Linked DNA regions of Oreochromis niloticus. The protein of the gene in region 4 interacts with the protein of the main gene of each other region in a pairwise test. Links are inferred from orthologs where the notes say so. Each region holds a gene or a part of one and is shown on either strand. Other genes may lie near its edges.

Region 1 (7,894 bases), on a different chromosome or scaffold from region 4:
AGACGATACAGGCACAAACACATATTACAAATACCAAAAACACTTGTTAAAGAAAAGAGCTTGTGGTATATGTGTGTGAATTGGAACTTGTGGATTGAAAGGTCCCTGCACTAGAGTGTAATGAGTTTACATGTTAAGGAAACTTCAAAAATGTATTTAACCTGAGGTAGGCATTATCATCTTTGAGGCGCTTCAGCTCCTTTTCCAGATCTGGAACTCTGGCCGCCTCTGACTTTATAGTCTTCACAATGGCAAAGTCTTGCTCCTGGAACGCAAGCCGCCTTTCCAACTCCTGCCAAATTAGAAAGTGAGAAATTCACCAGTAATACAATTTTCAGATTGTATTCACTTTATGGAAACAAATACCTGTAATACACACACACACACACACACACACACACACACACACACACCTACACCTGTATTAATGTAAATATCTAATCAGCCAATCACGTGGCAACGACTCAGCAATCTTTTATTGTCCAAAATTGGACAACAGAAGATTAGAAAAATGTTGCCTGATCGATGTCGAGCTGATCCGAGTGAATACTAATGGAAAAGGGGCTTTAGGACCAACTAAGCATCATTTAAACCTACACCCTACCTGAGGATTGTAGCTGACCATGTCTGTCTCTTTATGAACACAGTGTACCCAACCTCTGATGGCTTCTTCCAGCAAGATAATATGACATGTCACAAGACTCCAAATCATCTCAAACTGGTTTCTTGAACATGACAGTGTACTCCACAGCCCCCAGACCTCAGTCCAACAGACAGACAAATCTGCAGCAACTGTGTGATGCCATCATGTCAATATGAACAAAAATCTGTGAGGCATGTTTCCAACACCTTGTTGAATCTATGCTCTGAAAAATTAAGGCTGTTCTGAAGGTGCTGAAAATGGTATGTTCAATAAGTGTATGTTATGAGGGGAAAAAATACATTTAAACTGATATTATGCAATTTGAAGGAGAGAGGTAGTTTGAACAAAAAAGCTGATATGTAGAAAATTGAACAGATATACTGCACATGATCTTGCCTGCATTGGTTATAAGTCTAAATCGTAATCATATTTAGTAGGTTTACATTTGACGTAGAGTGAGCTGCATAACGCTGTTTAACCACACCATCTACATCAGTGCAAAGATGTACAAACTGCTATTCTTAACTATTTCAACTATTTCCTCTCCATGAACTGTGGACACTGGAATGTTCTGAACTACAGACAAATCCGTACACCATGTAAACTCTGAAGTGAAACCCAAGGAGCCCAATAGAAGCGACAGCATTTCGTACCTTAATCTTGATTATGTGCTCAGAGCATGACGACTGCGCAGCTTGGAGACTCTGGCAAAGTTGAGAGACTTCCTGATACTTCCTGATCATAACAGCAATCAGAGAAAACTGCATGGTCAGCATTTATATTAAGCAGTACAGCTCAATATTTTTTAGCATGAAAAAGAGCAAAGAAGTGTCAGTCCCTGTCTGTGTGTGTGTGTACCTTTGTTGCAAATCTAGCTTTTCCTGTAACTCCTGGTTTTCGAGCGTTTGACCAGAGATTTTTGAGTCTTGGTTTTGAATCTTCTGCCTGAGCTCTCTGATCTCATCCTTCAAAGAGCTGATGGTCTGCAAACCGATAACAGAGGTAATCCAGCATAAGATAAGAGGCACTACCAGACTGGCAAAATAACTGTGCGTGCAAATCTACAAGCATGCGTGCACCTGGTTAGCTGCGCCAAGCTTATCATCTCGTTCCTCCAGTGTCTTGTTTAGACCCTCCAGGTTCATCTGGAGAGCATCATTTGCTTCCTTCTGCTCTGTTAGCTTCTTATTCGCCTCCTCCGCTCTCTCCTCCAGCTTTTTTATTTGTCCCAAAAGCTCCTGGTTCCGATCCACCTCATGCTGCAACATAACAAGGTGGTGAGCTATCTGATGCTTTGTTCATGTGGTATTAAAGGAGTATATATGGCATGTACCTCCAAGTCTCGTGCGCTGTCTGAGGCTGCCTTCTCCAGTTCAAAACGAGCCCGTTTGTGACTCAGCTCCATCTGTTTCTTTTCCTGGTCCAACTGCAGGTAGCGATTCTTGGAGTGAACCCTCTCTGCTGCTTCTAAAAGCTAAAAGAAGGATATGCTAGTAAGTGCGGAGGCTGAATGCTGATGCTATTTTTGTTCAGCTTTTTTGCCCCCTGTTGATGCAAACAGTTTCTGTATGTACCTCCATGCTGCGCTTGTACTGACTCTGCAGGATTCCACTCCCTGCTGAGTGCTCTGACAGCCGCTGTGGATGTTCGGGGCGGCTGATGAAGGAATTGAAGGACTTCAGGGTTGTTAAAATGGTCGTGTCGTCTTCTAAATCCATTCTGGAAGATGCAGCACACAAACGAAAGGCTCACAGTACGAGTAAAAAAAAAAAAAAAAAAAAAAAAAGACTTCACAACGGCCATGTAAAGTTTAGCTAAGTAATTCTAAAGTGCACCATTTTCATGCTTTATAACTTTACGATAAAAATGTTAACAGGTTAATGTTATATGCAGACAGGTGCCTAGCATTAACTACGTAAAAGTGCAAAGTAAGATAAAAGTGGTATTAGCTTCTTTGCTCAGCTGCACAAACACGAAAACAACTTTAGTAGCTTAACCAAAAGCTAATGTTTACGTTAGTTGCCATATTTGGCAATTATCAAGAATTATCTCAAGAAGGTATTCACTGGTTTGTTAAGAACAGTTTAAACTGCTTCACTCCTGTATCACCACAGGCTAGACAAGAGTTCAGTTTACCATGACTGTTTTCTACAGCTATTCCCCCTACGCTACGTTTAAGTAGCAAACAAATGGGTATCGCTTGTAAGAATACGTCCTCACCTCTGAGCCGGCTTGGTTTCTTTATTTTTAAGGAGCGAGTTATTTGCAAATAGGTTATCTCGGTGTTGCTAACGTGTTAGCTGCTCACTAAATACTACAGAAATCCCTCCAGTTTAGCTCGAATGGGATGCACGTAGTATCGCGAGATTTGGTACCATCGCGAGTATCAAAAGCAAACTTTTTTTGTTTGTTTTTATAGGGAAAACGAATAAATCGTGCACTGTTTAATTAAAACCCCGTGTTTCTTTGTTAGTTTGTTTATTGTTTGTTTTTCCCCTCTGATTTCTGGTTTTCTAATAATAAATACAATTATGCTCGGAAAAGCCTGTTAACTCCGGCACCATTCGGGTAGAGCTGTTTTCTTACTATTACTATTAGATAGAATTTTACCATTTGCACAACCTCTGTTATACCACTACTACCCTTAGAGGTCAACCACCTCCACTTTACCATATTTGTAAACCCAGGTTTAATAATAATCTTAGTGCAAATTGCATTAATAAATATGTACACTATACACTATGTAATATGTTTGGGACTACTGTGTTCAGCTATCACATAAATAAAAGTTATTTTGCAGTTTTACAGAGATCGGTAGGAATAATTTCCTGAAGCATTGTTATCTGGTGACAGGGTTTTGGGTCAGTCTGGTGAAGGAGGAGCTTGGCTATGTCAGAAATGTGAGCAGAGTGGGTGTGGTGGGTTTTCCATGATAGAGACAAGTTGTTCAGTGACCTCCTGTCCCTCACTGACTCCAAATTATGGCCAATGATGGTTCCAGCCTTGTGAGTCATTTTATTGATCCCGATCATTATTGTGTCCTGTTAGCCTATGTGTCTGAAACCTCACTCTCCTGCAATTATCACCCTTTTTAACAGCAGATCTTTGTCCAATAAATCATTTGTTCCTAACGATTCCATCACCTCTCACATGTTAGACATTTTCTGTTTCACTGAGACTTGGCTCAAACTAGGGGACTACTGCCCCCTGGTCGAATTGTGTCCACCCTGTTACAAATTCTTGAATGCCTCCAGATCCTCAGGTTGTGTGAGAATGATAGTAGTTTAATTTAAACTGTGTTCCATGTACTCATTTTATTCCATTAAATTATTGTTCTTCAAAATTTAGTGTGAATAGCCACTTTGCTGTTTTGCTATCTACCAGCGTCCCAAATCCTGTGGTGATTTCCTGCATTAATTCAGTTGAGTTCAATTCATTTCAAGAAACATAACTAAAGTGGTGATTGATTGATCAGATAAACAGTGATGTAAACCACATTCACTCTGGGCTATAACACTCTGAATCACACTACGATGATGTATATTAAAGTTGTTCTCTTCTTTTTTACTTTAACAGCTCCCAAATTCTTTTCTGTTCTGTTTTTATTCAGTTTCATAACCCATTTAAAAAAAAGCCAAAACTGTACACGGTGAGCCAATGTTCATATCTAGCCATTTTAAAACATTACTGAAATATAGGCACTCATCCAAGCATATCTCCACAAAGCTGATTCTGAAAAAGGACTCAATAAATGTGACACTCACCGTTTACAAAGGTCCATCATCAGTGAGAAAAGAGGATCTTGCAAAATGAGCAAAATTAATTCAGATAGAATCATTTTATATACTTCAACATCAAACCATTAAAATTGTTATAAATATGTAAAAGGGTAAGTCATACAGTTGCTTCTGAAAATATTTCACTTTGATAAAGTTATTAAAAATGTTTTGTAATGTGCATAAATCTGTGTTTTCATTCTTCCTGCTGAAACTTGTTTATCTTGACTGTAAAAACACCTCTTTCTTCAGTGTCAGGCTGCTCCCTCTGGTTGCTGAAGAGGGTGCTGCTGTGGGCAGGTCACAGTCTGTGGATATGATGTGCTTTTTTCACTGGTCTGCTGTGCCATACATCTTCCAGGGACAATTAATTAGTTGGTATCCACTCGCATCTTTTCCAGGAGTGCTGTGGTCCTGGAAGCTAAGAGACAGCATTGCAGCCAGGTGACAAAAAATAATGACAAGAATTGAATATATATATATATAATATTATATACAATATTAAAATGAATAGTATGCATTATTATTCAGATGACTCTGTACCAGACACACATGATGTATTACTGGTGACAGCATGCGGTATGAAAGAGTTCCTAAATCTTTTCTTAGCAGCAGGGCTGAATCAGCCTGCTAGAGAAGGTCCTTTGCTACCTGTCCAATAAGTGGTGCACAGGGTGCATGCATTATGCATGTTGAACACAGTTTGTTTAGTGACCTCCTCACCACCACAGCTTCAAAAGTGTCCAGTTTGCATCCAATCACAGAGCTATCCTCCCTAATCAGTTTATACAGTCTGTTGGTGTCACCAGCTTCCCTTGCAGACCACAGCAAAGTGCACTGTGCTCGCCACAGCTGACTGATTTTGCTGAACATATTGAAGGATCTCAGCTTCTTTATGAAAAAGAGCCCCTACTTGTGCACTTTCTCTGTGTTAGGCTTGCATTTCAGCCTATGTCAGTGTGGACGCCCAGGTACTCGTACTCCTCCATTAAATCATCCTGCCCCAGAGCAGGCTGCACAGCTGTCGACTTCAGATGGAAGTGAACACTTTATGACCTGTTCTGATTTGGACACTAAAGCTTCCTTCAAAGATCTATTCTCTGTGAATTTATTCTTAGTCACTCTAGTGATATTTATTTCTCGAATCTCACTCATGTTGTTGGACCTAATTAATGCTTTTGTTCTCTGCAGTGACATCACAGACTTTAAAATCTGTCATTTAGTATTTTTTAAAAAATCACCTCATTTTTGGACATTTTCTGGCTGTGAAGTCAAAATGAACCGCTTCAGGCTCTCTCGATAGTCACTTTTTAAAAGGCAATAATCCTCCTCATCCTTATCAACAGGCCAGAAAATAGCTGATAAACATTCCATGTGTTACTCTTTTACATTTACCTAATTAATCAGCGGGTAAATAACAGACCTGAAACAATGCATCAGTGCCAATCATGTTATTTCATGCCTCAAAAATAAAGCACAGCATTGCATTATTGGGTTTTTGTAGATTCAGCCTAATTTATAGACTAAAGAATTTGGCTAGAATGAGCAAAACACTGACCACTTAAAACCAGGTTTATAAATATGCTTATAATGATTTACATGGCATTACTGTTCTTTTGTTAGAAATGACCAAAAAATGATATAGTGTATTTACTTTTGTATCCCATTAGCCCAGCACATGTATGTGCTTGGATTTGTGGGGCCTTACTGGCATAGTTGGTCCAACAGAGGGCAGCACTGCTATATTTATCAGTTTATATTTTACAAAGCATGGTCTTTTGGTGGACACAGAGGTCTGCCTCGGTGTAAAGCCTCGTCTTTGTACAAATAATAAGCTGTGATTGGCTTTGCATTACTAGAACTCACACAAATGTGGGTAGATCTTGATATTGTACTTACATAGCACGCTGATATGGAAATGATGCTTTTTTTTCTCTAGCATAAGGTGTATCACTCACAGGGAGGCACTAATGACACAGCTTTACAGATGGCAGCAGTGCCCCGGACGATGTGAATTACAACCATTTGTGCCACAATGTCAGGGCTAAAAGCATTTTAATCCATGTTTAATTAAATCACCATAAGTCGCCTTGAATGATCCTTCTGATCCAAACAACGGTGATGCTCATTCTTGTGCATCCAGTTTGCATCTTCATTAATACTTCATTTATTCCCATGTGGAAAAATCAACCTCTGCACTTGACAGTCACGGCATAGCAGCTGAGCATCAACTCCAGTTCTGCTTGTGCCGTCTGAGGTCACGGTCAAGGAATTCTTTACGACTGGCCTGCATTCATGCCCTTCATGAGTGAAGTAAAGGAAGTGAGACCTTGGGGGATTTATGTAAGAATATCTACAGCAAAACACAGGCAAGACCTTGAGAGTGCTGATCTCTGTAGTTTCAGAATACATGGATGAAAACGACGCAGACAAGCAGCTCACAGATGGTTGGAACAAGCCACGATGGACGCACAAGAGAATAATGACTTTTATATCTTTACATTCGCCTATGCTGTCATCTACTGACAAAAGAATAAGCTGTAATTACAAAATCACCTCTCCATCACAAGGCTGAGAGCAGAGTAGGAGCACAAGAGGTGAGGCCCGGTGCCCAGTCGATATTTATGTGAGAAAAGAGCTGGAAAACATGAAATAAAAGAGAGGAGGGTCCACGGAGGGATTTTTTGATTTTCTATTTTTTTCTATGTGGGTGAGATTCAAGAGGGATTGAATGAAAGGGTGTGAATTTGTCTGAAAAGGTCAAACAGAAGACAATTCCTCTTCAGAGTGACATAAGAGCTCCCCTTTCTCTCTGTCACTGTCTCTTTCCTTTTCATCCTTTCACCCCCCAAGAGAATTCAGCCTGTTTTGGTCCACTGTCTCTCCCAGCTCCCTCCTTCCCTTCCTCCCTCATCCCTTCCTTTCTTGGTCCTACAATCTCCCCTCTCTCACCGGGTGAGAACACCTTTTTTTTCTCCCCCTCCCCTCCCTCCTCACTGTCTTTTTTTATCTGTCATACTCTGACTCAGTCCCTCCCTGTCTCTCTTGGGTATTCGGTCGCCGTCCTCAGCATCCACCTCCACCTGCCTCGGTCCTGCCGCGGTCGACCCGTGGATGCAGTCTTCCCTGCGAGATGACGCAAATGCACAAATTCAGACTCGTGCACGCGCGCACGGACACACACACACGGCGTACGATGTAAATCAGCAGAAGTGCCCGCAGATGTGCCCTTCGTTGCCATCTGTTGAGAAATGTGATAGGAGTTCACAGGAAGCCGTTTCACATTCAGTGGGGTGTTTTTTCTACCCACAGCTAAACATCAAAACATACACAAATAGTTCAATGTCATGCAAACCGCAAAAGGTTAGGAAGCTGACACCGAGAAAAATCTCTTTCTTGCGTTGTTACCCGATTGGCAGCAATGTCAGCTTTTACAGCTTTGCAGTTAATGACAATGAAAGATATGAACGAGTGT
Region 2 (7,652 bases), on a different chromosome or scaffold from region 4:
TTTCACACTTTGTTTGTTAGAAATAATCAAATTGTTGCTTAATTTACACAAAATGTCAGAAATCTGCACCGTGAACAAAAATTAAGCCTAAATTTTCATAATTTGTTGGGTTCACCCTCTGAGGTCCAAAATATACCCAGCCAGTTTTGATTTTACATTTGTATTTCACCTTCAAATTGTTTCATTTTATCTTTTTTGCTTCGCTTTGTTTGATCTCATTCTCTTCAGCTCAACCTCACGTGTCTGTATTTACACTTTTTTCATTGACATACTGTAGTAACACAACTCATCTGAAATCACACAAAAAACATAAAATCCGAGAAGTAGTTATAGTTTTTTTCACTGTAAAAACCACAGACATGTTTAGTAACTTATTTTAATAAATTGAAAAGCAAATCTAAATTGTCAATGTTGAAAACTTATGAACAATTTTTTTAAACATATCTAAAAATGCAGCCAATACATCTGGCAGGGCTTACCCTAACCCCTAACCATTTAAAAATTCTACTATAACTTAAATGAGAGAACAATCAGGTGTCACAATAAGATGTCCCACAAATTATTTGTGCCAGTAAAAGAAATAATAATAACAAAACACAGAGGAGACACCACAGGGATGAACCTGCAGGCCTGACAGCAGCAGGTGCATCACTGCTCCAGTTTTCCACCTGGAGACAGTGTTTACACTGCAGTCTGCCTTTGTGACATTCATTAGTACTCTCACTGACACACAAACAAAACAGTGACTACACAACACACTAACTACACACTCCACACTAAACATCACAAATCTATCACATCTAAAAACTCGCTCTCTCGTTCTGTCTCGCTGCCGTCACTCCCAAAACTTTCCCCTCTTCCTAAAAAACCAAATCCCACGCGTTGCCATTTTTTTTTTTTTTTTAAATTGGTCGACATGGTACATTTTTCCACCAATAGGAAAGAGGTGTCTTTTTTCCTTTCTTTACTGTTTTCGTGCCATCCTTAGAAAATGCCTTTTTTAGCGTTTCTTCCCACACAAACGTGACGATAGCATTCAGAAAGCATCGCTTATATATTTTTTTTAACCATAACTCTGGATTTAGTGGCCTGTCATTAAAATTTAAAAACCGATGTTTACTTTGAAGTCCGAACTTTCAACACGGGCTGAAAGTTAATAACTCTCACCTTCATTCCACAGTGCAACAACCAACCACCTGTGTGAAATCTGAGATGCCCATGGTGTTGATTCAAAATGTGCTCTGGCACAATCATAGGCATCGGTTGCTACTGACAACAAGAAATAAAGCAGGTCTGCGCTGTGGGCTGAACCATTTGTTAATGATGGGGGGAACACTATGTAATATATTCAGTGTTAACTGTCGCTAGGCTCAAAGTGTTAATGCTATCTTATTTCAATAAACAACACTGTCATATGCAAAACACCCCCCTAGATCCGCCCCTGGGCCCTGAGAAAAAATTTCCCAGTTTAAACATCTGTTATGTTGTTTATGTTTTCTTGTGAATAAACTGTGGATGTATGAGATGTTCAAATGTGGTTTTTATTTACAGATTACACAGTGTCTCACTGTTTTGGAGCCTGGTTAGTACAATGAATCGAGGTTCGAGTACAGACTGTTGTCTGCACAGCACTATCACTGTCACAGCACAGCTGCAGTGAGTTCTACTATTACTATGGATTTCATCACAACTACACAACAGCCCTGTTTACCTGAGCACAGACCACCTGAGCACAGACCACCTGAGCACAGACCACCTGAGCACAGACCACCTGAGCACAGACCACCTGAGCACAGACCGCCACACACATCTTGCTTCAAGCTTATTTGAAATGAAATCTACAAACAGAGAGCTGCAAACACAATAACTAAGAGTTATTATAGAACTTCTTTCAGACTTGCCGCTCAGACTCTCATGGCTGTGAGAATAACATGATGCAGTCATCACACAGCAGCACTAAATCTTAAAACCTCAGCTGATCGTCAGAAAACACACACCTGGGAGGCCTCGATCACGTGACTGCTGAGCGTACACAGACTGTAAGTGAAGATGGAACCTGCTGCTTCCCTGGACCTGAGATTTCCTCCAATCATGCAAGTGAATTTTTAACAGTGAGCGCACTTTATGTGTCGCCGTGGACGATCACACACTTTTAGAGAGTGATCGTCACATGACTGAGCACGGAAGTCTGCACGCATGAATGAAGTGAACTCGCAGGCTTCCACACAGACAGAGCCAAGTGAAGCTATCTGAAAGCTTCGACTTCTAAATCTAAATTTCAAGATAGTTTCTGTGTTTTTAGTTATTATCTGTCAAGTCTGAGATTCTAACTCGACATTTTGAGAGAAGTATCAAAAAAGTTTTCTTCAGTCGCGTAAAGCCGGCTCCACAGGTCTGTTACTCTTTAACCTGATGACAACATGACAGTGGAAACTTTCAGCAGCCGCACCTTTCATCTTTTATGTTTCAAGCTCGAGTTCCTCAGCTCTTGCGCCTGCGCAAACACGCACCGAAGAGCTGCCCCTCGACCCGACGAGTGTATGTGTGAGTGTGCGCGGTGAATCTTCGGAAAGAGTAAACTTGAGCAGCGGTTGGAAGCGCAGTCCCGCGGCTGTGGGAGTTACCTTGGTGAAAACCTCCAGGTCCTCGTCCTCGTCCAGGTCCAGCATGTGTTCTGAGAAGTCTGCAGGGACCGTGTGCCCGCTCATCGCTCTCAGCTCCGGAGACTTACTAAACACAAACTTCCACCTCAACTCCACACAGCAGCCGCACTCAGAGGCCCGCCGAGGATGCCACTTCCTGTAACGGATTTCAAAGTAAAAGCTGCGATCAGTCACGTTTGACTTGGCCCGGAAGCTGTGTTCTCGTTATGCGTCTTTGTTGTTCACAGTAAAGTTGAGTGTTGGCTAGAGTTCGTGTTTTTCGGCCAAAATGCTGAGTGTACATGTGTTGCCTCATATCACAAGGAAAGCCAGAAACGTGTCTGAACAGGACCACTGGAGTTCTGTGTTTTTATTTTTAAGTCATTTTAATTTTTCTTTTCATTTTATATTTTCTGTTTGTTTGTTTTAAAGTTTGTTTTTCCTATTATGATAACATATGTGCTATTTATCATGTATTATTAAATGTTAAGCTTAACAGATCCAACAAAGTCAAAGCATAAAAACGTTGTCCCATAATGTGTTTGATTCAAGTTAGTTTTGCAACACTGCAGTATCGTTTTAGCCTTTTATTCTTATTTATTCCAGTGAACTCAAATTTAAAACTAGGAAAGAAAAATACTGACAGCAACCTGTTTGTTTGATCCCTGACTGCTCCAGTCTGCATGCCAAATATCCCTGGGCAAGATACTAACCCCGAGTTCTTCTTTGATGGCTTGTATGAATGGGTAAACAAGACAATTTGTATAAAGTGATAATAATAATAGTAATAATAATAATGATAATGATAATAAAGTTCAGGGCTGTCACGTGTCTTCCAGAGAGAGAGAGTGTGGTTTTCTCTTTGCCTCCTGATTTGTATGACGTCTTCTTTGCTTATGTGTCTCTGTGCATTTAGCCTTTTTTACACTTTCATACCATTTATATTTTCATTCACATGGATTTTTAAACATTTTTAAAGATTTATTTTGAAGTGCATACACATATGAATCTTATACAGTTTATGAAAGAACAATTACTACTGTAAATTCTGCATCCATGACTCTACATAAGTAACAATATAGAAGCCTTAGCTTCAAAATGTATTTCAAGTCATCATTCTGTTGAAGAAAGGTTGTGAGCTCTGATATACTGTTAGACCCCCCACTCCTCCTGATATTCCCGTGCCTGCCTTTAACTATGATATGTCATCTATGAACTATGGATCCAGTGTTTAGGAACCAGTGAAAATTTATTTGATTTTCAGCCACCCCACTACACCCAGAACACAGTTGTATTTCCTGCATATTTGTCTGAGCGGACTTTCTCTTACCTGCAATCTTGTCAACAAACGGGCAAACTGTGTGTTTATTTAGGGGAGTGTGGCTGGCACACAGGCTGCACTGACAGTCAGCCCCACCAGCACCAAAAGATGTCAGTGTTGCATAGGCTGTGCAACAGTGTGTCACACCTCAGGCTGGACCACCACTGCACGCTCACGCAGTCACCTTCCCTACACTTTACAGCAAACGCTGTGCCTGAAAGAAGAAAAGGAACTCATGCACAAAGAGTTGTTTTTTTCCTTTTGAATGTGAGAGAATCTTCATTTATTCCCAATGAAAAATAAGTTTCTCTGCAATTTTTTTTTTTCTTTGTGATTCGATTTTCCCCTTTACTGTCTACTTTCGCTACACAATTTAAGGGTACAGAAAAACTGACCACAATATCCAAATATCACCTTTCTGCAGGACTGCTGCAGTCTACTCTGTTACGTGATACAAGCAGAAGCATCTGCAGGTTACCCTGGTAAAGACTAACTGGGCTGTGGGCAAGAAGAGGACCAGAACCGTGTCCATCCCTGGAGTCTGTGTAGAGACACAATAGCACTCTACAGGAAGAGCCAGAGTCATCTGTTATCTGTGACCACTTCTTTCAGCTGCTCCCTTTAGTAGTCCCCACATCTCATTCTATACCATCTTCTTCTGTTTTACACCAACCCTCTGCATGTCTTCACTAGATCCATGAACCTCTCTGAGGTTTTCCTCTTTTCCTCCTGCCTGGCAGAACCATTTTCATCATCCTTTGTCCAACATACCCACTGTCCGTCCCCTGCACATGTCCAAACCACCTCAGCCTTGCCTCTCTAACTTTGTCTCCAAAGCACTCAGCCTCAGCTCTTGTATTCATTTCTAGTTGTGGCGGGGCGTGGTCTGAGGTGCCGCTGCGAGGGAGGCGGACGCACCAGTGCGGAATCTGCAATCACACCTTGCCGGCTTTAAAATCTGTACTGGGTCCTGAGAATTGTTGCTGTTGGTGTGTATGTTTGGCTGGTGACTGGGAAGCCGCAGCCACGTGTGAACAGCAACCAGTGAATAAAAGCAAGATGCTGAATAGCATGAATGTGTGGACAGGTCTGCCGTGTGTTCTTTACACTAGTCATGTCCATGCTGCTTAAACCCCATGAAGACATGAACATTGTCAGCTGGCCTCCTGTCTTTCTGTCAGAGCCACCATCTCCAAACCATCCTTCATAGCAGCCCTGACTAGAGGACTAGAATAGAATAACTTTGTTATTCACATCAATGGAAAATTGTCTTCAATTCACTAAGTCATAAAGCAATCAAGTTACTTCATACCAACCAACACAAATAACATAAATATATATAATAAATAACACAATGAAATATAAGTTTTAATATACAAAACTTTAATACAACAATTAAACTTCAATATAACAATATATGTCACAGCATCTCATTATTTAGTATACTGACTGCTTTTGGCACAAATGATCCCTTATACACCTACCACTAAGAGGCAGGACCTGCTCCCCGACAGAGGGCCTGGCTTGTTAAACCTAGGGAAGTCTGATGCAGATGACCATGTTGCCACCGCACAAATGGCTGAGGCCCACTATGTGGCCACCCCTCCGGGTAGAGTGGGCCCGCACTCCAGAAGGGAAGGGAGACCCCGAAGAGGCATATGTCTCCCAAATGGCATCCACGATCTAGTGGGACAACCAGGCCCTAGACAGCTGTCAGCCCAGGATCCCTGAATGGACGGCCGGGTACTGACTACACTGCCAAAGCATGGCCAGAGCACAAGGCAGCCTGGTGCTGTGCTGCCTCCTGGGCCAACCTCTCAGTGGGAGCTGTTTGAAGCTCACCTGAATGGAACAGGTGGAATTCAGACAGGGCCTTCAGTAGGAATGCAGGGTTGGGCTGGAGGACCACCCCTTTCCCGTCCGACAACCACCTGCAGCAATCCCTGTGGACTGACAGAGCATGGAGTTCAATAATCCTTCTGGCAGAGGTTATAGCCAGCAAAATGGCTATTTGAGGGAGAGCTATTTCAGTTCAGCGTCCTCCAGCAGCTTAAAAGGAGGATGAGGGTGCTGAGGACCAGGTCCAAGTCCCAAAGGGAAACTGGGGGCTGTGAATTGCGAAAAGTAGTTCAGGACCCTCAAGCCTCTCAGCCTTATAGGAGCAAGGACGGCATCCATGCACCGTGTAAAGGTCCGGGGTGCAAGACAGATGCAGAAGGGGAGGACTCGGAACTCAAACAACTTCCCCTCAAACCCGAACCTTAGGAATCAACAGTGCCCCCTGAAGATAGTGGTTGAGGCCCCTGAGATCCAAAATCAGGCAGAGTCCCCAGTCCTGCATCCTTCTTGGGAACCAAAAGATAGTGTGAGAAGAGCCCAGCTTGGTGGTCCCCAGCATCCACCTCCCATATTGCACATTTCCCCCGGAGAGCCGAGTGTCATGGGCCTGGGTCTGGTGACCCAGGGTTCATGAGTGTTTATGAACTTGAATATTTTTGATGGGTTTGCCTTGGGCTAGCGGTCCTCGCAGGTGAGTGTGTTCCGCTGGGAGGCCGGTCACACCAGAGGAGGATGATGGCACACACCTGCTGCTGATCAGCCTCGTCTGGGGAACTACTGGGGAGAGTGGCTGAGCTCTGGTCGATGCTGGATCGTAAAGTTTGGGATGGTCATGACGGCAGGGTCTGCGGAGAAACTGCAGGTGGTCGCCCTGGGTCATGGTAAATTAAAACCAAGGCTCTGGCCCCAGAGCAGACCAAGCTGCCTTGCACTGCAAGGCAGAGAGGGAAGAGGGCTGGCTGGCTTGGACCGAAGAAAAGTCAAGGGGGAGGGAGTTGACATGGCCCTGTGTAGCCTAGCCAGCAGGGAATCCATAACCTTAGAGTCTCTGCTCGGGCATGTGGCCTTCACAAGAAGGGAGCTAGCGAGTGCAATCAATGGGACGAGAGCATGATCTACTGGGGGAAGTGGGCCACAGGCAATCTACTCCCACCCATCCATGTTAGAGAACCTCCTACTGGCAGGGGAACACCTGTGCAAACTCTCTCCATGCATGAGTTAAACAGTCCATCGCTCTCTCTCATAGGCATCTCCATCCACAGGTGTGTCATCTCCACTCTTCAACCTCATCATAGTTGCTCACACTTCCTGGTTGTGATCTACCAGCTTTCTGAGCAGATGGAGAAGTAAATGGAAAGCCACGCACAGCCCTGTGTTGAACTGGATCAATGAACCAAAGAGCCAGCAATGAGTGATGACAGTTTTACCTGATCCAGCACCAACTATGAGCTTTATTGAAATGTAAAGCTTGCAGCCTAATATTAAAAGTAGAGAAGGTATCCAGAGGTATTCGACCAACACAGAAGCTGAAGACGTACGCTGAGTGCTTTAATCCCAGATCCAACACTGCACACCACAATGATGATGCTGTGTATATGCAAAATAGGTTGATTGCAGTGGAGTTCACTAGAAAGTTTTCATTGTTTTAAACTCACAGTTTTGCTTCACTACAAAGAAATTCTTTGTTCCTTCTTCCATTACGAATAAATATACTTCAGATTATTTGTATTTTATTTGAAGCACTTGGGCATTTTTACAGTGTTACTGCTGATATTGTATTCAAATAAAGAATGCTGGCTTCATGTTACCATGACGCCAGGAATGTGCAGGAAGACACTTCTACGCACTGA
Region 3 (7,956 bases), on a different chromosome or scaffold from region 4:
AAGCTCTCACTGATATCATATGGACCCGGGAGTAGAAGAAACTGAGTTTTCAGGGAGATCTGAAGCCTGGCTTTTGGATTACAGTGATTAGTTGCCCATAATCTGACCTCATGATTTGAAATTTTGGCCATGTTTAATCTTAATTTACACCACAGATTATGTGGATGGCATTTGAATGTGTGAAGTAGACATATTTATTTTAACCACATTTGAGAACAGAACTGCAGAAATATTTATAAATGGTCTTCTGCAATAACCTTTGCAACTGCCAGGAAAGTTCTAGACTTACTTCATACTTTCCTCAATAACGCTTTGTGTAAATGTCAAAAGAAAAATTTCACTGTTTAAATCGGAATGTATTAAAATGGATGAGCAACCATTTTGATTTCTTCATGGTCTGGCTATTTTTTGAAGCAAAAAATGACAGCCGTTCTGTTTCCTGGTGCCATAATGTGAGGATTTTAGGCTTTTCCTTATCATATTTAGCATATTTGCTTACATTAGTTAGAAATATACAAATGCTAATCAATCCATTAAATGATTTGTAGACATAACAGAACAAATAATGAATTTACAGTTAGTTGCAGCCTTAATTTCAAAGTAATCTAAATAGTGTGGTCAATAATCATGAATGCAATTTGAAAACTTGAGGAAAGGTCGCACTTTTTAGTGCACAAACTGATATATAGATTCTTGCACTTATGAGCAGGAGGCATGTTAAACTCTAAATAAGTGGTGCATTCACACAGCAACTGCAGCCATCTCAACAGGCCAAAGAGAAAATCATTAACTGCTGAGACGAGTGGCGTTCCAAATGACAAGCTGCTCTGCATTGTTCTGCTTTCCGGCTGCACCCTGGGGTGCACTCAACTCAACAGAAAAGAGCCAACTCTGGAGCTACTGGAAACAAACAAGCCTGGAGAGGAGGCAAAGTGTTGCGATGAAGAGGCGGTGTGTGCGTGCGCGTGTGTGTGTGTGTGTTTTTGTAAAGAATCGTAACAGAAACACAGAGTGAGAAGAAAACGAGCGACAGCAGAGGAGAGAAGATCCGGCAAAATAGAAAAAGAAGACAGAGGCAGAGGAGAGTGTTGCATCCATCTCTAACCTTATTAAGAATGTATGTTTCTGGGCAGGGGGGAGGGCAAAAAGGATATGGAGGAAATTAGGTGAGGAGAGAAGGGAAGGAAAAGGAAGAGACAAAGGATGAAAGGAATTTAATGAATAGCGAGAAAGGTACAGTGGGGTTATGATGCAGGCGAAGACTTGAACAGTAAAGGAAAAACAAGCAGGCTGAGGATCTAATGAGGGAAGCGCTGCCCGCGGGCACATGCGCACGTGCAGAGCAATCACTCAAACCTCTTTGGTCTCGACTTGTTCACCACAATAATAACGCTGGAGTCAATAATATTGGAAAATGAAGAAACGATTAACATTTCAAAGTTGAAGACGTTGCAGAGGGCTCAAGAGAAAATACCAGAATGAGTTCACAGCTGATATCAGGAAGTCAGCCACTCTGAGAGAGTATGGCAGATTTCTAACAGGGAGTGAGAGGGTGAAAAAACACCACAAAAAATGAAGCAATCCAGGACCTTTAATCAGAAAATGAAAATATGAACACATACATGCATATACAATGACAACGAACCTCTCCTCAAATATAGATATGAGTGCAGCACAGTTTTTTTGTTTGCTTGTTCACTTACAAACACTTTTACTGTAACATCTGTCTTAGCGGACAGTTGCTTGGCTCAACGACGCAGCAAACTAGGCTACACCCCTTACAACATCCTTTACACACAAACACAGACAGAATGAGTTTACTAGGGTACTAGGATACATTGGTGCAGTGGTTTTGATCATAATTAGTTTTCCATGGACCCCCTTCTTTACCACCCTATCAGATTATTTAGGTCTGGGTCAGATTTTGCAGAAGCTGAACTACTTTCTCTTTTGTTTTTTACCCTAATAAAGCAGCATCAGCAGATCTCCTGGGGAAACATTTAGAGCGGCCAAGATGAAAAGTAACCCAATAGTATTGATGAGTTGACCCAAATCAGCACTGCGCTAAGTGCCACTTTTAATGCAGGAAGGCTGCTCCGTTATCAGCTGTCTGATAACAGAAAGACATTACATCGGGAGTGAGAATACTAAGCAGTGGCTGTAAGGAATGGATCAATAACAATATGGTAGTAAGACCTTCTCATGAATAATTAAATAGCAGTCATAAAATTGGTGTGAGCGTAGCTACTGCACGTTGGACTGACAGTAAAGCCAGGAGTAAAAGTAAAGCTGCCTCTCGACTATAAATGCGTGACTTTTATTGGTGATGAAGAAGTGAACAAAGACGCATAAGAGAATATTGCTTAATAAGATGCAATAAAAGTACAGTGAATCTTTTGGATGGGTCATTCAGAAAAGATATGGAAACTGAGCTCAGCGCGTTGAGGCTGCTCCCGGGCTTCCACATTCATCACCAAAGTGTCAAATCTTCCGCCTACTCTACCAAGCCACGAGTATCTGCGCGTAAGTGCGCACTGCACCGGTCCGTACGCGCTGTTCACTGGATGTCTTCATCCCGAGCACCCACCCGCCCTGCACCTGCCAACCCGGTGCATTTCTATACTCACATCCAAAATAACGGAGATGCCTCTCCGCGGTTCCGGAGCGAAGAACTGCTCCTGAGCCACGGCCACCTCCTCCTTACTGGAGGCGTACTCCCGGCTGGAGATGTTCTTGTTGTCGCTCATTTTGGTGACGATCCAGCGGACGAGCCCGTCGATTCCACCGGGCTGGGCGCCGCTGTTTCCGGACTGCGCTGCCGTTGCGGACTCGCTGTCCTGACCGGCTACGGGTTTCGGCTGCTCGCGGCTTTCTTGGGCTCGAAGTTTGGCTTGTTCTTTGTTCAGCAGTTTGTGGACTCCGTCCCTACAGTAGCGCGCTGCCTGCTCACACATCCTTTTGCTGCGGAGCGCTCATGCTGCGCTCTATGGGGGAGAGAGAACCCCCACCCCCACCCCAGCTCCCCTCTTACATCACAGCACCCACCCCAAATCACACCCACCCACCCTACAGAGCCCTATCTACCCATACGTGCTTGTAGGCAGATATTTAACAGCTTTGGAGATTTAAGTGAGTTTATTGCACTTTTTATTTCAGTGTTGTTATCAACGCTTTCATATTTCTAAGTGCTAAAATGTCTCGCCTTCAGTGCTAATACTTTTCTTACTACAGTGTAAAAACACATGACTATTTTTTCATGGTGTTGTAAAATAGCAAAGTTGCAGATCACTTTGAACTATCCGAATCTGACTGGAGACCGTGGCACAGTTTATTCCTTCCACAGTGACAACAGGAGGTGTGGGCCAGCAGTCATGTGTGGCAATGGGTGGATCAGAGGATTTTCCACATGGAGTAAAAAGGAGTCATTAGAGGATCAGTGTTATGTGAGAGCTCTAACCTTTGGTAATGAGCGACTCCCCCAGCTTTGCCCTTTCCGCTGTACTGTTGTCTTCCCCGTAATGTACCATGTGTTTAACAGCACGCAGAGCATTCTGGATGAATTCAGTCACGATGCAAAGTTAACAAACAGGTTATCGCGATTACCACAAGGAAGTAAAGTCAGGCGTGTTATACATCTTGCCCCATCGCTGGAACATAAGAAAGGGTCAATCACTTGACACGATTGCCCCCATGTGGTAAAACATGTGCAGTGACGTGCCTGGGCAAGTCTTATATGCAGGATGTATTGAGTTCATTATTAAATATTTACCAACAGATTCGTGACAGCCACTTATTTAAATCACACAAATACACAACACATTCTGGCTTGAACATTTTGGCAATTAAATGGCTAACAGGCTACAGAAAAATAACAAAACATGCAACTGAAACATACGAACATCCAGCAATGAAGGCCTAATTTCTTAAGTGCATTCATGTTTACATCTATAGTCAATCTCTCTGTGTCTGCACATGTCTCTAAGATAACTGAAGACCCTTCAGATAATAGACGCGTGAGTATGGCCTCCTGTGGCCTTCGGAGTGCCGACTGGAGATGATCTAGCTGCCTAACCATGGTCCTGGAGAGCCGTCTGAAGGAACCTCAAATGACACCAGGATTTTCGGGGTCTCTTTGGATTGAATGTTGCCCCCTCCATTGACAGTAAAATGGGAGTTGTCAACCTAGACATGAGCAGGGTTCAAGTTACGTCAAATCTGAATAAGAGACATGTTTAAATGAAACATAAATTGAATAGAAACATTTTATAGATGCTGAAGATGTGAAAGCTGCGTTTAATACAAGCAGGAGTACAATTTGTCTAAACATAAGCCAGGTTGCACCACTCTGCACACTGCAATCTGTTCCAGGCTAAATTTAAATCATCTTGCTCCGTGTTGGCTGGCAATGAACCCAGTGCAAATATTTAAAGGAAATGAGCCTTAGTAAAGCATCCCTATTTTTAATAAGAGTATTGGCTGCCTGCAGGGTGTTTGTTTTAGAATGTTGTAATCATTGTCAGCTATGTTGATAAGACATTTTTAACTTTCACTCTTTGTTCTGATTGTCTTATAGTGCCGACTTTTGTAAATTCTACTTGCTCTTTACCAGAAGAGAGAAAGTGGTGGTCTGCAGGAACACATTCTTGAAGAGGATAATGACGTTCCCACCGGCTTTGATGCTGAACGGGCCTTGAGGTTTGAGTAGGGGAAAGATGTATTCACCACCAATTACTGAAGACAGGCTTAGCTGGCCTCTTATTTACCCCAGCTGATAAGGCTTGAAACGGACCTCCATGCTGGCCTTTGAGCCCGAAGGGAAACCTGGTAATGTGCTGACATTCTTGTCTACAATAAAGGCCGGACGGTCAGTCTGGAGGACAGAGATAACACAAGGTGTTTGCAAGTAAATCAACTTTTTGTGTTGACGAATTATAGAGAGCAGATGAGAAGGAAGCCTCGGTGATGAATGCTGACACTGACCACATGTAAAGTACTGTTGCTAGAATAAATGTACAAAAAGGAAAGAAAGGGCTATTTGTTTTGCCACTTTTTACCTTGCAGCAGTACTCGGTTTTGAAGCGTGAGTAGTTGTTAAACATTACAGTGACAGAGTGGCTGCTGCCCAGCAAAGTATTGTCCACAGATTTCTCTGGTGGTGGGGGCAGAGCTCTGAGAAGCAGATCGTAGTGGAAGTGGCCCAGCTCATTGCTGAACAAAGTTAGACGGGCAGTAGACTCGCCTGGATGAAGAGGCATGTAATGAACAGTCAAAAAAACCTGTAAAGAAAAGACACACACATATGCCAGCAAGAGTCTGTCTGTGGCCACACAGTTTTTTTAATGTGATGGCAGATGTACTCATTATCTACCTTGGACTGTCCTGGCACACTGTGCTGAGGTTGGACGATGATGCCAAGACATTTACACTCCTTAGTGAGGCAGGCTGTCTGGGTCAGAGGGTTCTCTACTTGAATAGTGGCCGAGGCCACCTGACGAACAGGTGTCCCCAGCTTGATGGTGGACAGGACTCCTGGAGATGTTGCCTTTGAAGATAACGAGGTAGAACAAATACTCGCCTGTCTCATCATTAATGAATGTCACCCAAGGATAAAGATAAAAGGATGATGTGAGAACAAGGCTAAAAAAAAAAATAGTCATCCAAGTCTGGATGTGTATGCTTGAGTAAACCGTGGTGTTACCCTCTGTGTATGTAAAAAACAAAACAAAACAAAACACTCGTAGTCCCTCTTAGCATGGGCAGGGACATCAATAAACTTGATTTCCTTGAGGGACACTGTAGCATCTGGCTTGTCAGGCTTCACTGTCTCTAGACACACAAGGAACCTGACAACACAGATGAGTACACTCATTGCTCTGTTATACATCTGTTGCATAATTTGCCAGGAACTATAGATTTCCATATTAGCACAAAAAAAGCTTTGCTTAACTGGGATCATTTCCTACACTTTACTTCTTACTTTCTAGTAGAAAATTTCAAAATGTAAAATTTTGTGTCATCTCAGTTTAGACAACACAGTTGAAACTAGTTGGTGATTTAGCTGCTAAGGAGAGACATATCACTTAAGAGCAGCTCAAGTGTATATAGTTCCCGACTAAGTGTTTACCTTTGTTGCCTAGAGAGCCAGTTGTGCACAGGGAGCAACAGTGTGTGGAGAGTTTTAGCAGGTAGCTCATGCACAAGAGTGTCCCCTGCCACAGGAGGATCAGCAGCTCCCTGCAAGGTGTACAGCACACCTGTCCCATCGGGAAAGGCAAAAAAAGGCAGATCCCTGAGGCAAGAGAAAGGATAAACAGAGATTAATTAAATTGTTATAGTTACATAGATAGTTTTATTATCTGTAACCTTTTCAATATTAAAAAGTATTAAATATACCCAGTTTTTCAAATAAATAATAGATTGTATTTAGATGGTGGCTCTTCTACCTGGTGTTTTTTCCAGGAGCAGTCACGGTCATAGATCGGGAGGTTATTGGGAATGCAGTTCTGGCGCGGCTTGAAGGTCACAAAGAGTGGAGAACTCCAATGCTTGCCCTCAATGACAGGTTTGATGGTGCAACACTGGATTGTGGGGCTGAGGACAGACAGGGTCTGTGTGTGGGAGCCACGAACTGGACACACAGAGCTCACCACCTGGACACAGAGACAGGGTGACAACAATTACTTGATCAATGTTACAAAGGTTATACTTTCAAGGTCATTATATCATCTTGCTACATTGGATGTTGTCAGCAAGAGAAATCTGATCAAGCATAGGGTTTTATCCCAAACACAGAAATGAATCTTTGCATTTATGATAAAATTAAATTATCTGTAACTCATTCTCAAGATAACATAACATGAGAAATTTCCTAAAGCATTTTCTCAGAAGTACTCAGCTAATTGAAACTGACTAATAGTTTTTACAAATCCTTAAATCTGTCAGCAGCTGCTGCCTGTTCCAAATGAGCCAAATCAATGTCTTTCATTACCTGATGCTGGCCTCTAACCATTCCTACAATGAGTCAAGGAGTCACAGTGCTGACAAGGCACCTTTTAGATTTTATTCCCTCTGGAAAAGCCTCAAAATCAATACCCAGATAACTAATCTTTTAGCTTTGTTGACTGTAAAAAGCTTAAAATCATCATCAACTCAAAACAGCATATATGTTATTGTTTTTCTCATATTACTCAACACTGTCCTTTTCCCTTTGGCACAATTACAGTGCAGAATGGTGAAGAAAACAGAGTCAAACCTCTTTGCTAGTGTAGGCCATGATGCAGGAGCCAGTGACAGTGAGGGTGACAGGCGAAGAAGAACCCTCCACAAGGCAACTAAGATTCTCATATTTTGTGCCATTACTCAGCTCCACAGAGGCAAAAGTCGCTTGGAAAGGGAACCTCCACTCCTGGATAGATATATCCATTAGCTGGCATGATGAATAACTGCAGGAAAATCCTCTGTTTTCCACTTAAACCTGTTAAAGAAAAAAAGCAAACAGGCAGAATAACTGCAGCTATAATATGTGAAGCATTCTGATAACTGCAGTAACACAATATTGATGTTTCTGAGTGAAGATGTGTTTGTCACTGCTGTCTAATCTTACTGGGCACCAGCGTCACCAGTATTCATCATAGCATTCTTCTTCCTGAATGGCAGCGTTGGACTACAGCTCCAAAGTACCTCTCTTCTGGCTGGGCTTTGACATCCTGGTAGTTTTACATGAAATAAATTAAGACTATATGATATACAGAGCTAACATTAATCATTCTTGCTTATAATATAGCATATGGCATTTATAGCAAGTCCTACTTTGTTATAGTAGTACTGTCAATATTCAGAATTCGTTTGAACTTTTCTCTTTCTGTTTTAAAGGAAGTGTATGAAACTTTGTGAAACTCTGTGAAAACGTACTCCCGATTAGACTTTTGACTACATGATTACAGTATCTGTATTTAA
Region 4 (7,347 bases):
CTCATTGTTTCTCAGTTCACATTTTAGCTGTCTCACACTTCACACTGCAAGTCTGTCAGAATGGCACTTCCTAAGCTGCCAAATATCACAAGAACAAATATTCACATCGAAGGTGTCGAACATCACATGCGCCACAGCTCACCGATTCTGCTTGGTATGAGAGAATTCGAAGTAGATCCTTCTCCACATCCTCCTTGGATGAACTGATGTCAGCTGTGCCATTGCCTCTGGACATCAGTTGGCTATAGAGGATTTCAAGGCTCTGGGGATATTAGATTTTGAGTCATTTCTAAAAACATGGTATTTGTCTTTGCTTCAAACCTACACAGAATTAAGAGACTATCAGTATGAGTGTTATTTTCTTCTTCACCTTGACAGCAAGGCTTAAGTATTTATCTGCCATCTGGGGATTTTTGCAGTCCAGCCAGGTTCTCCCTGTTTTGCTGGCCATCTGTAAAGATTAGACACTGACAAACATGCCTTGTCCTCCAGAAACATTGGGCACTCACAGAGGCTGCCTTCAGTACTGCTTACCAGAATCTGCTTGCGAATGGTGCCCTCTGTTGGGTTCTCAGGCTCACAGCAGTACAACAGACTGCATGCAACATGACGCACTGTAAGCATAGTAAGATTATTTGAATGTGAGGAGAGAAGATCCCAAAATACTGCCACTGCAGTAAAGCATAGAAAAATGCACAGTGGAACACTATCAGTCTTGGACTGGCCTGCTCAGAGTCCAGACCTCAATATTATTAAAGTCAAAATGAGATCAAAGTGGGATCATCTTGACAGAGAACTGAAAAAAGGCAGCCAACTTCCAAAGAAGAGCTTTGAATCTCCTTCAAGAAGCCTGGAGAACTATTCCTTAAGACTACTTAAAGAAATTACAAGAAACCTTTAAAATTTACGATGGGTTGAACAATAAAGGTGCTCATACCAAATATTAACTTTGAAACTTGTTAGAATAGTACAGACTGTTTTTGTCTTATATATTTCCATGCACATTTGCATGTTTAAATGCATTTCTGTATCTATTTCGTATTTTCCTAGCAAAATACAAAAAATGAGGGGTGGAACAATACAAATACAAATTTACCTTGGGCTTTTTGAATTGTACTTATTGTGACACCCACATTCTTAGTAACTCCCCAGTTCCACAGCTTGATGGCACACTCCTCCAGCTGTAAACAAGACAACAAAAAAATAAAATTATGCCAGCTTCTTGCATATGAGTATTAACAATATTACATTAAATTGCAGTCTTTAAACTTCATGGAACCGTTGCAGCAGTCATATAACTTGTAGTAGGTCAGATTAATTCAGCTCTATTAAACAAGAATATTAGCGGTGTAAAAAATTTCTTCCATAACTATTTTGTTAATTCTCCATTTTATTTTATTTTTTGTTTTTATTGTTATACTATAACTTTACATCACTACTGACTTGTGGCGTATAGTTAAACAAGCTGACATGTTTTTGTCTACCTGCGGATCTGGTATTTTGGGCATAGCCTCAAGTCCAGGGACTTCAGAGAAGAGCTTCTCTATCACTTCATCATAATCTGTTAGCTGCTTTTGCAGCAGGAGCTCAGTGAGACCTGTGTATTAAAAAAAAGTCAACAAAGACAGACGTTGACAGGATACAAACAGGGTAACAGAGGACACGTTGTCTTCTGAAGTGGAAAGTGACATCTGATTTTTCATGCAATAAGAATATCCGAATTTTCTACACTATAAAGAAAACCAGATACTGTTTGTGCAAGACAATAATGTGTGTGACATGGAGAGCACCCCACTTTCTTATTCTTTTGTATAAGTTAAAAATCTGTCTCAAAATCCAGTTTGACTACATTGATGTCCTTTCTCATTTCAAAAATAATTCAGATATTCTCTTGTGTCTTAATGTTAGGCTATTAGCACTGAAATATTAAGCCATTTATTAATGATTGTTCATCTAGGTAGAATATAATCTAAAATGAAATATGAGTCATACATCCCAAATCAGGTTAATTAGTTGCAATTTTTTTTTAAAAAAGTATTCATTTACATATTAGCTTCAAGTTAGGGGGCTAGCTTGTTATAATAATGTAAAATATAACAATAATTCACTGTGGCTGGTGACCAAGATAACATGAGCAATTTAGTGGATAACATGAACCCCAATTTTATGCCTCTAATCATTTGCATTATCAGGCATTTCACAGGCTGGACAAAATTTATAAAAAGTCTATAACACAGCAGTTTCTTTAAAAATTCTAAGACCCTGTTTGAAATACACATAAGGTCTTCAAGTACCCTTTTTACCCATTGAATAAAGAGAATTTACTCTCCATTAAAAACTGCTTTAAAAGTTTCAAATTGTTACCCAGGTGTAGATTTGTACATACAAATGTAGATGGCAGCCTGCTGGCTAACTTTTTCTTGCTGCAGTCACAACAGCAGTAAGTTTTAATAATACAGCTTTTGGGATTTTCAGACTTTGCCTGTTTAGTTCCCTTTGTCTTTTAGAAAAATAACTATTACTTCCATGGCTTGAGTAACATTTAGCTAATATACCAGAGGCACAAAACTGTTATTAGCTATTGTGCATCCAGATAATAGACGCAACCTAACAGTTAGTGAATTAGCTAGGTTGGAAGCTAAATTAACAACTAAGCTACAGCTCCAGTTGGTAAAAGCACTTTAATAAATAAATAGGTGGGTCAAGAGAACGAGTCAGTTACTCACTTTTCACAGTTGAGGTAAGTTCCTCCATGTTTAACTTTTTGTGGAATAAAAATATCAGTCAGGCTAGGTGCTAGCAGCTAGCGCCTCACTGAAATGTTGGCATTTGATTGACGGCTATCAAAAATGCCCGCGAAAAAGAGAGCGAGGATATCAAAACAACAGCAATATAAAAGAGCTATTACTCCAATAGAGGGAATTATTCTGCCTACCTTAAACTGTTCCTAATACTAGCTTGATAATAATTGCAGGTGTGACAAAAATCAAATACCATTAAACAAAGGGGTAAAGTACGGAAGCGTAGAGCTGCCACCCAGGCAAAAGAAAAAAAGAAGTATATCACGTTATAGCGTGAAAAGTTTATTGTTCTAACAAGATACTTTTCATGTTTGTACAATATACTATCATGTTTGTACAATATACTTTTGACGTTTGAACAATATAATATCACGTTATTACAATATGCATAAATATCACGTTCGTACAATATATTTATATTGTTCGTACAATATATTTATATTGTACGAACGTGATATTTATATTGTACGAACGTGATATTTATATTGTACGAACGTGATAATTATGCATATTGTAATAACGTGATATTATATTGTTCAAACGTCAAAAGTATATTGTACAAACATGATAGTATATTGTACAAACATGAAAAGTATCTTGTTAGAACAATAAACTTTTCACGTTATAACGTGATATACTTCTATTTTTCTTTTGCCTGGGTGGCAGCTCTACGCTTCCGTAGTAAAGAGAGTTTCTGTTGGTTACTGTTTTATCCCCATCTTCTATAGAAAGTTATTTGCTAGAGAATTAGAAGGGGCAAGGTCCTACAAGACCCACAGTTCATCTCAAAACTTGCAATGGGGAGATTGGGACTACCTTCTTTTAGAGATTATTGTTTTGTAGTAGTGTAGCCCATCATAAAATACACATGGAAAAACACTAAAAAGAAAATACCTCCCATTCCCATACAGCCAATTGTATCATATAACAATTTACAAGGTTATATAAATATTAGGTGAAATTGACTCTTAAGGTACATAAAAGTGTTATAAAAGAACATAAACTAGAGCAAGACATTTATATTATCAAATCCTTGAGTTGTGATTTTATTGTGTGCATATGATTCTGATTTCTATACAATATAATAAAAGAAGGAAAACTGCACCGTTTTGAAATGTTTAAAGTGAGTGGAAGTCACTATTTAATAGGACTGTTTAGAAAAGCATATAACTCAGAGGTTGGTAATAGGAATTTGAAAAGATCTTGTATTAAACACATAGCCCTGTGCAAAAGAAAGCAACCCCCTCCAGCAGCTAAATATCTTCTACGAAAAGTTAGTTAGCATAAAAGTTAGCATATTTTGGGTACATACTTACAGAATGGATGAGGAAGTACTTATGGGAGATCCCCAAGGTTGTAGGCTGGAAAAAACAATGGGCATTTATAAAATGGATATGATAACAGCATTTCTTAAGTATAAATGAGAACAATTTGTTTCATACTGAGAACATTTTGTCAACTATGTAGCACTCTATAGACCTGATTTTTTTATTTTATTTAAATTTTTTGCAAATTTGTAATTAATTTGTATTGATTACTAGAACGCTCCCTGCTTGTTGAAAATTATTTGTCTTTTTTCCCCTTATCTACCTTGGTCTATGTATGTGTTGTGTAGTGTTTTATGTATATGGCTTATGTTTATGTAGTGTTTCAATTTAAAAATAATTAAAACAGAAATAAGAAACAGCAAGGGCTTTTGAGAGAAGGGTCATCTACTGGAGCACAAGATGATCCAGGCTATGCAGGGCTTTAGCTTTCTGGGAACATAAAATAAGGCAGTAAAGTCATATTAAATTTGATTGTTCAGTCATTTTAAGGTCAGCTCAGTGCAAAGCTGAATTGCTAGCAGTGTACAAAACAAAGTAAGACACGTGTTTGCTTACAGATAATGGAGTTCTGTAGAAAACTAAATGTTTTGACAGGGCGTGCTCTAAGTTTTAACTTTGCCAACACTAACTGATATTGATCTCATGTCGGCATCAATAGCTCTTAAATAAAGTCTGTGGTTGATATAATACTCACAGGTTATCTGAGGTTTTCTGACAAAGTATTTTCTCATAACTCTCTTTGGTTCTCCTGCAATATTTACTCAGAGTTCAGCAATCTTTGTTGGCATTGTGGCCATAAAGGGAAAAAAAAGTATAAGCCCTTATTTCTTGGTAAATCTAAGAAGTCTTGTAATGCTGGCTTAGCGCACTTGTTTACATTTATTGCCAAATGACATTTTCCAGTCATCACATGCTTGGAAAGTAGATTGAAATACCTGTACTTATAGTAACTAGTGTGGGAAATTAAGGGTTTATTATTTGTTGTAGATATAGACATCAGGATGACACAGAAAAAGAGAGCTCGCCAGGCAACAAATAAAAAGTAGTGAATTGGTATTTGGACTGTAAGTTGTAATGTTACCACAAAAGCACATCCATCTTTTTTATCAGTAATTCTAAATGCCTGAACAGAGACCTGTTCTGTTTTTCAGTGTACAGGTGTCTCTCCTTGTGGTTGTTAATACAGGTATCATAGTGAGAATATCATCGGTATCATAGACGGACACGCGACTGTAATATTATCTTGCCAAATCCTTCTGATATTATGGTTAGAAAACAATTTATCTTATGTGTAAAACCAAAAATCTAGTTGTAAGTCAAAGTACATAAAACTTTCTGGTTTCTTTCTGGCAACAGGTATCAGGAAAAGAGAGGGAATCAGAGCTAAGCAGAAAGAGGAGGTCGAGTAAGGCTTTTTCAATTTTCAAATTGGAATATGATTCTGTTTCAAATCACACAAAAAATTAATAATAGGATTAAAAAGACTCCCATATTTACTGCCATTTACAGGTGTAAAGAACAAAGTGCCTCTCTGACAGGTTCATCATTTTCCCAAATAAAACTTCCACCCTTATTGATACCTTTTTGATACTCAAAGGTACTAAGGTAGGCAAAAGCACTATGACATTATGAAAGTCTGACATCTCACTTAGATATTTTACGCTCTTCATTGAAGTAAATGTTTTCTCTCTAAAAGCTGAAATATTCCCATTTTTATGTGTATGCACGCAATTCAAATCAAAGAAAAGATGAAGGCCTAAGTTTCCATATGTCTCTGTTAGGGGAGTATATTGTATTTAGCTCAAGAAGTTACTACAGGAATACTAAGAAATCACAACATGACTGTAAAACCATCTGCAAAATATTGCATAGGACCGCTCTTATGCTGCCAGAACACTTCTGACCCATTGGAGTGTGAACAAGGGAATTGTGGGGGCGTCCTGTAGTGGCTGGCAATGGGAAATTGGATCCTGTGTGTTGCAGGGTGGGGTCTGTGTGGATCAGGGTTATTACAGCTTATCCCAGGGATGCTTGATTATGAGCTGGAGAGTTTGAAGGCCAGGTGAACATATTTAGTTGCTGGAGGGGGTTGCTTTCTTTTCCACTGGGCTATGTGTTTAATGCAAGATTGTTTAGGTGTGCAAAGGTTGTTAAGTATGAAACAAGAGGACAACAAGGAAGATTCATGCATGCACTGAAGAAGGATATGCATAAGAGCATGGTAGGGATAGGGTGAGATTAAGGGAGATTATCAGCTGTGGTGACTTCTTAAGGGAGCAGAAAACAGAGGAATAATAATACTTTCTGTTAAAAGGTGATGCTTAGTTTCTACAGTTATCTAACTAACTTGCCTTACTAATTCCAAATAGCGTGGATCAGTCACTAGAAATTCATGCCGTAAACATTTGATAACCCAAGTTTCTAAAGATATGTCAGGATTTATTCTAGATGTCTTGATAAAATAATGCAAAAGACATCTAGGACAAAGGCACCCATAGAGCCCAACTCCACCCAACAACATGATCTTAAACTTGATTTGATTTGTCCTTGTTATATGTAAAACTTCACTCTCACATTGAGTTGACCAGACATTCAGCAACTATTTCTCCATCTCTTTGTTTTTCCATTCGTGATCTGTAGCCTGGGTGACTCAACAGCAATATGAGGTCATTTGACTCAACACCACCTTAGACATGGGTCTGGAGAATATCTAGACAGTTTGATTTTTGAGCTTTGATTTCTTGCTTTCTTACAAGCACTGATTTCTTTTTGCCTGTCTAAATTTCTGGACTAGAGACTTCTAACACAATAACTGACATATTACCGAGAAAACCTCTGCCAAAGCTTCAACTATGTTGCTTTGATTCTTGAGTAAATCTCCTTTTGAGAACTCAGGGGCTGAGGAAAGCAACTTTTTAAACCAGCAGCATGGAATACATTTGCACAAAAGGTGCTTCTCTCATCTTGGAAGGGCAAATGTTAAGAATAAAGAAAATAGTGTTCATTTGGTGTGTGAATTCAACAAAACCGCTTAATCTGTTGTATCAATATATTTATTAAACCATTTTTGTTTCCTATTAAGAGAAACAAATATTGCTATAGATGTAGACTTTCCCAGTAATGTCCTTTTTGCTATTTTACAATAGGCTCACCTTCTCTTAAGTGCCGCTTTTCCCAATCAACACTAGATGGAGCTAAAAGACATCGGTGAGACAAAT

Evidence for each region.
Region 1: the proteins of tex11 (region 4) and mad1l1 interact in a two-hybrid assay, tested with the Homo sapiens proteins (2 studies listed by BioGRID and IntAct). The two-hybrid records come from large-scale screens. The link is inferred for Oreochromis niloticus from reciprocal best matches to the Homo sapiens genes TEX11 and MAD1L1.
Region 2: the proteins of tex11 (region 4) and snx7 interact in binary tests that used the Homo sapiens proteins (3 or more experiments, as listed by UniProt). The two-hybrid records come from large-scale screens. The link is inferred for Oreochromis niloticus from reciprocal best matches to the Homo sapiens genes TEX11 and SNX7.
Region 3: the proteins of tex11 (region 4) and necab2 interact in binary tests that used the Homo sapiens proteins (3 or more experiments, as listed by UniProt). The two-hybrid records come from large-scale screens. The link is inferred for Oreochromis niloticus from reciprocal best matches to the Homo sapiens genes TEX11 and NECAB2.

Annotation. Positions count from the first base shown.
Region 1 is NC_031971.2:11,904,225-11,912,118, forward strand, and holds the start of mad1l1 (mitotic spindle assembly checkpoint protein MAD1), read right to left. Parts: upstream 3,020-7,894; 5' UTR 2,864-3,019; intron 2,363-2,863; 5' UTR 2,362-2,362; coding exon 2,218-2,361; intron 2,118-2,217; coding exon 1,977-2,117; intron 1,903-1,976; coding exon 1,723-1,902; intron 1,627-1,722; coding exon 1,502-1,626; intron 1,379-1,501; coding exon 1,297-1,378; intron 293-1,296; coding exon 162-292; intron 1-161. UniProt on the Homo sapiens protein: Component of the spindle-assembly checkpoint that prevents the onset of anaphase until all chromosomes are properly aligned at the metaphase plate.
Region 2 is NC_031974.2:33,800,822-33,808,473, forward strand, and holds the start of snx7 (sorting nexin-7), read right to left. Parts: upstream 3,005-7,652; 5' UTR 2,709-3,004; coding exon 2,625-2,708; intron 1-2,624. UniProt on the Homo sapiens protein: Involved in the regulation of endocytosis and in several stages of intracellular trafficking. Together with SNX4, involved in autophagosome assembly by regulating trafficking and recycling of phospholipid scramblase ATG9A.
Region 3 is NC_031972.2:7,361,208-7,369,163, forward strand, and holds the start of necab2 (N-terminal EF-hand calcium-binding protein 2), read right to left. Parts: upstream 3,011-7,956; 5' UTR 2,955-3,010; coding exon 2,628-2,954; intron 1-2,627. Other genes in the region: hydrocephalus-inducing protein, read right to left, coding at 4,760-4,870, 5,055-5,276, 5,369-5,542, 5,699-5,843, 6,125-6,289, 6,444-6,475. UniProt on the Homo sapiens protein: May act as a signaling scaffold protein that senses intracellular calcium.
Region 4 is NC_031966.2:20,005,693-20,013,039, forward strand, and holds the start of tex11 (testis-expressed protein 11), read right to left. Parts: upstream 3,015-7,347; 5' UTR 2,755-3,014; coding exon 2,727-2,754; intron 2,530-2,726; exon of another isoform or gene 2,387-2,529; intron 1,598-2,386; coding exon 1,485-1,597; intron 1,182-1,484; coding exon 1,097-1,181; intron 615-1,096; coding exon 535-614; intron 452-534; coding exon 371-451; intron 263-370; coding exon 143-262; intron 1-142. UniProt on the Homo sapiens protein: Regulator of crossing-over during meiosis. Involved in initiation and/or maintenance of chromosome synapsis and formation of crossovers.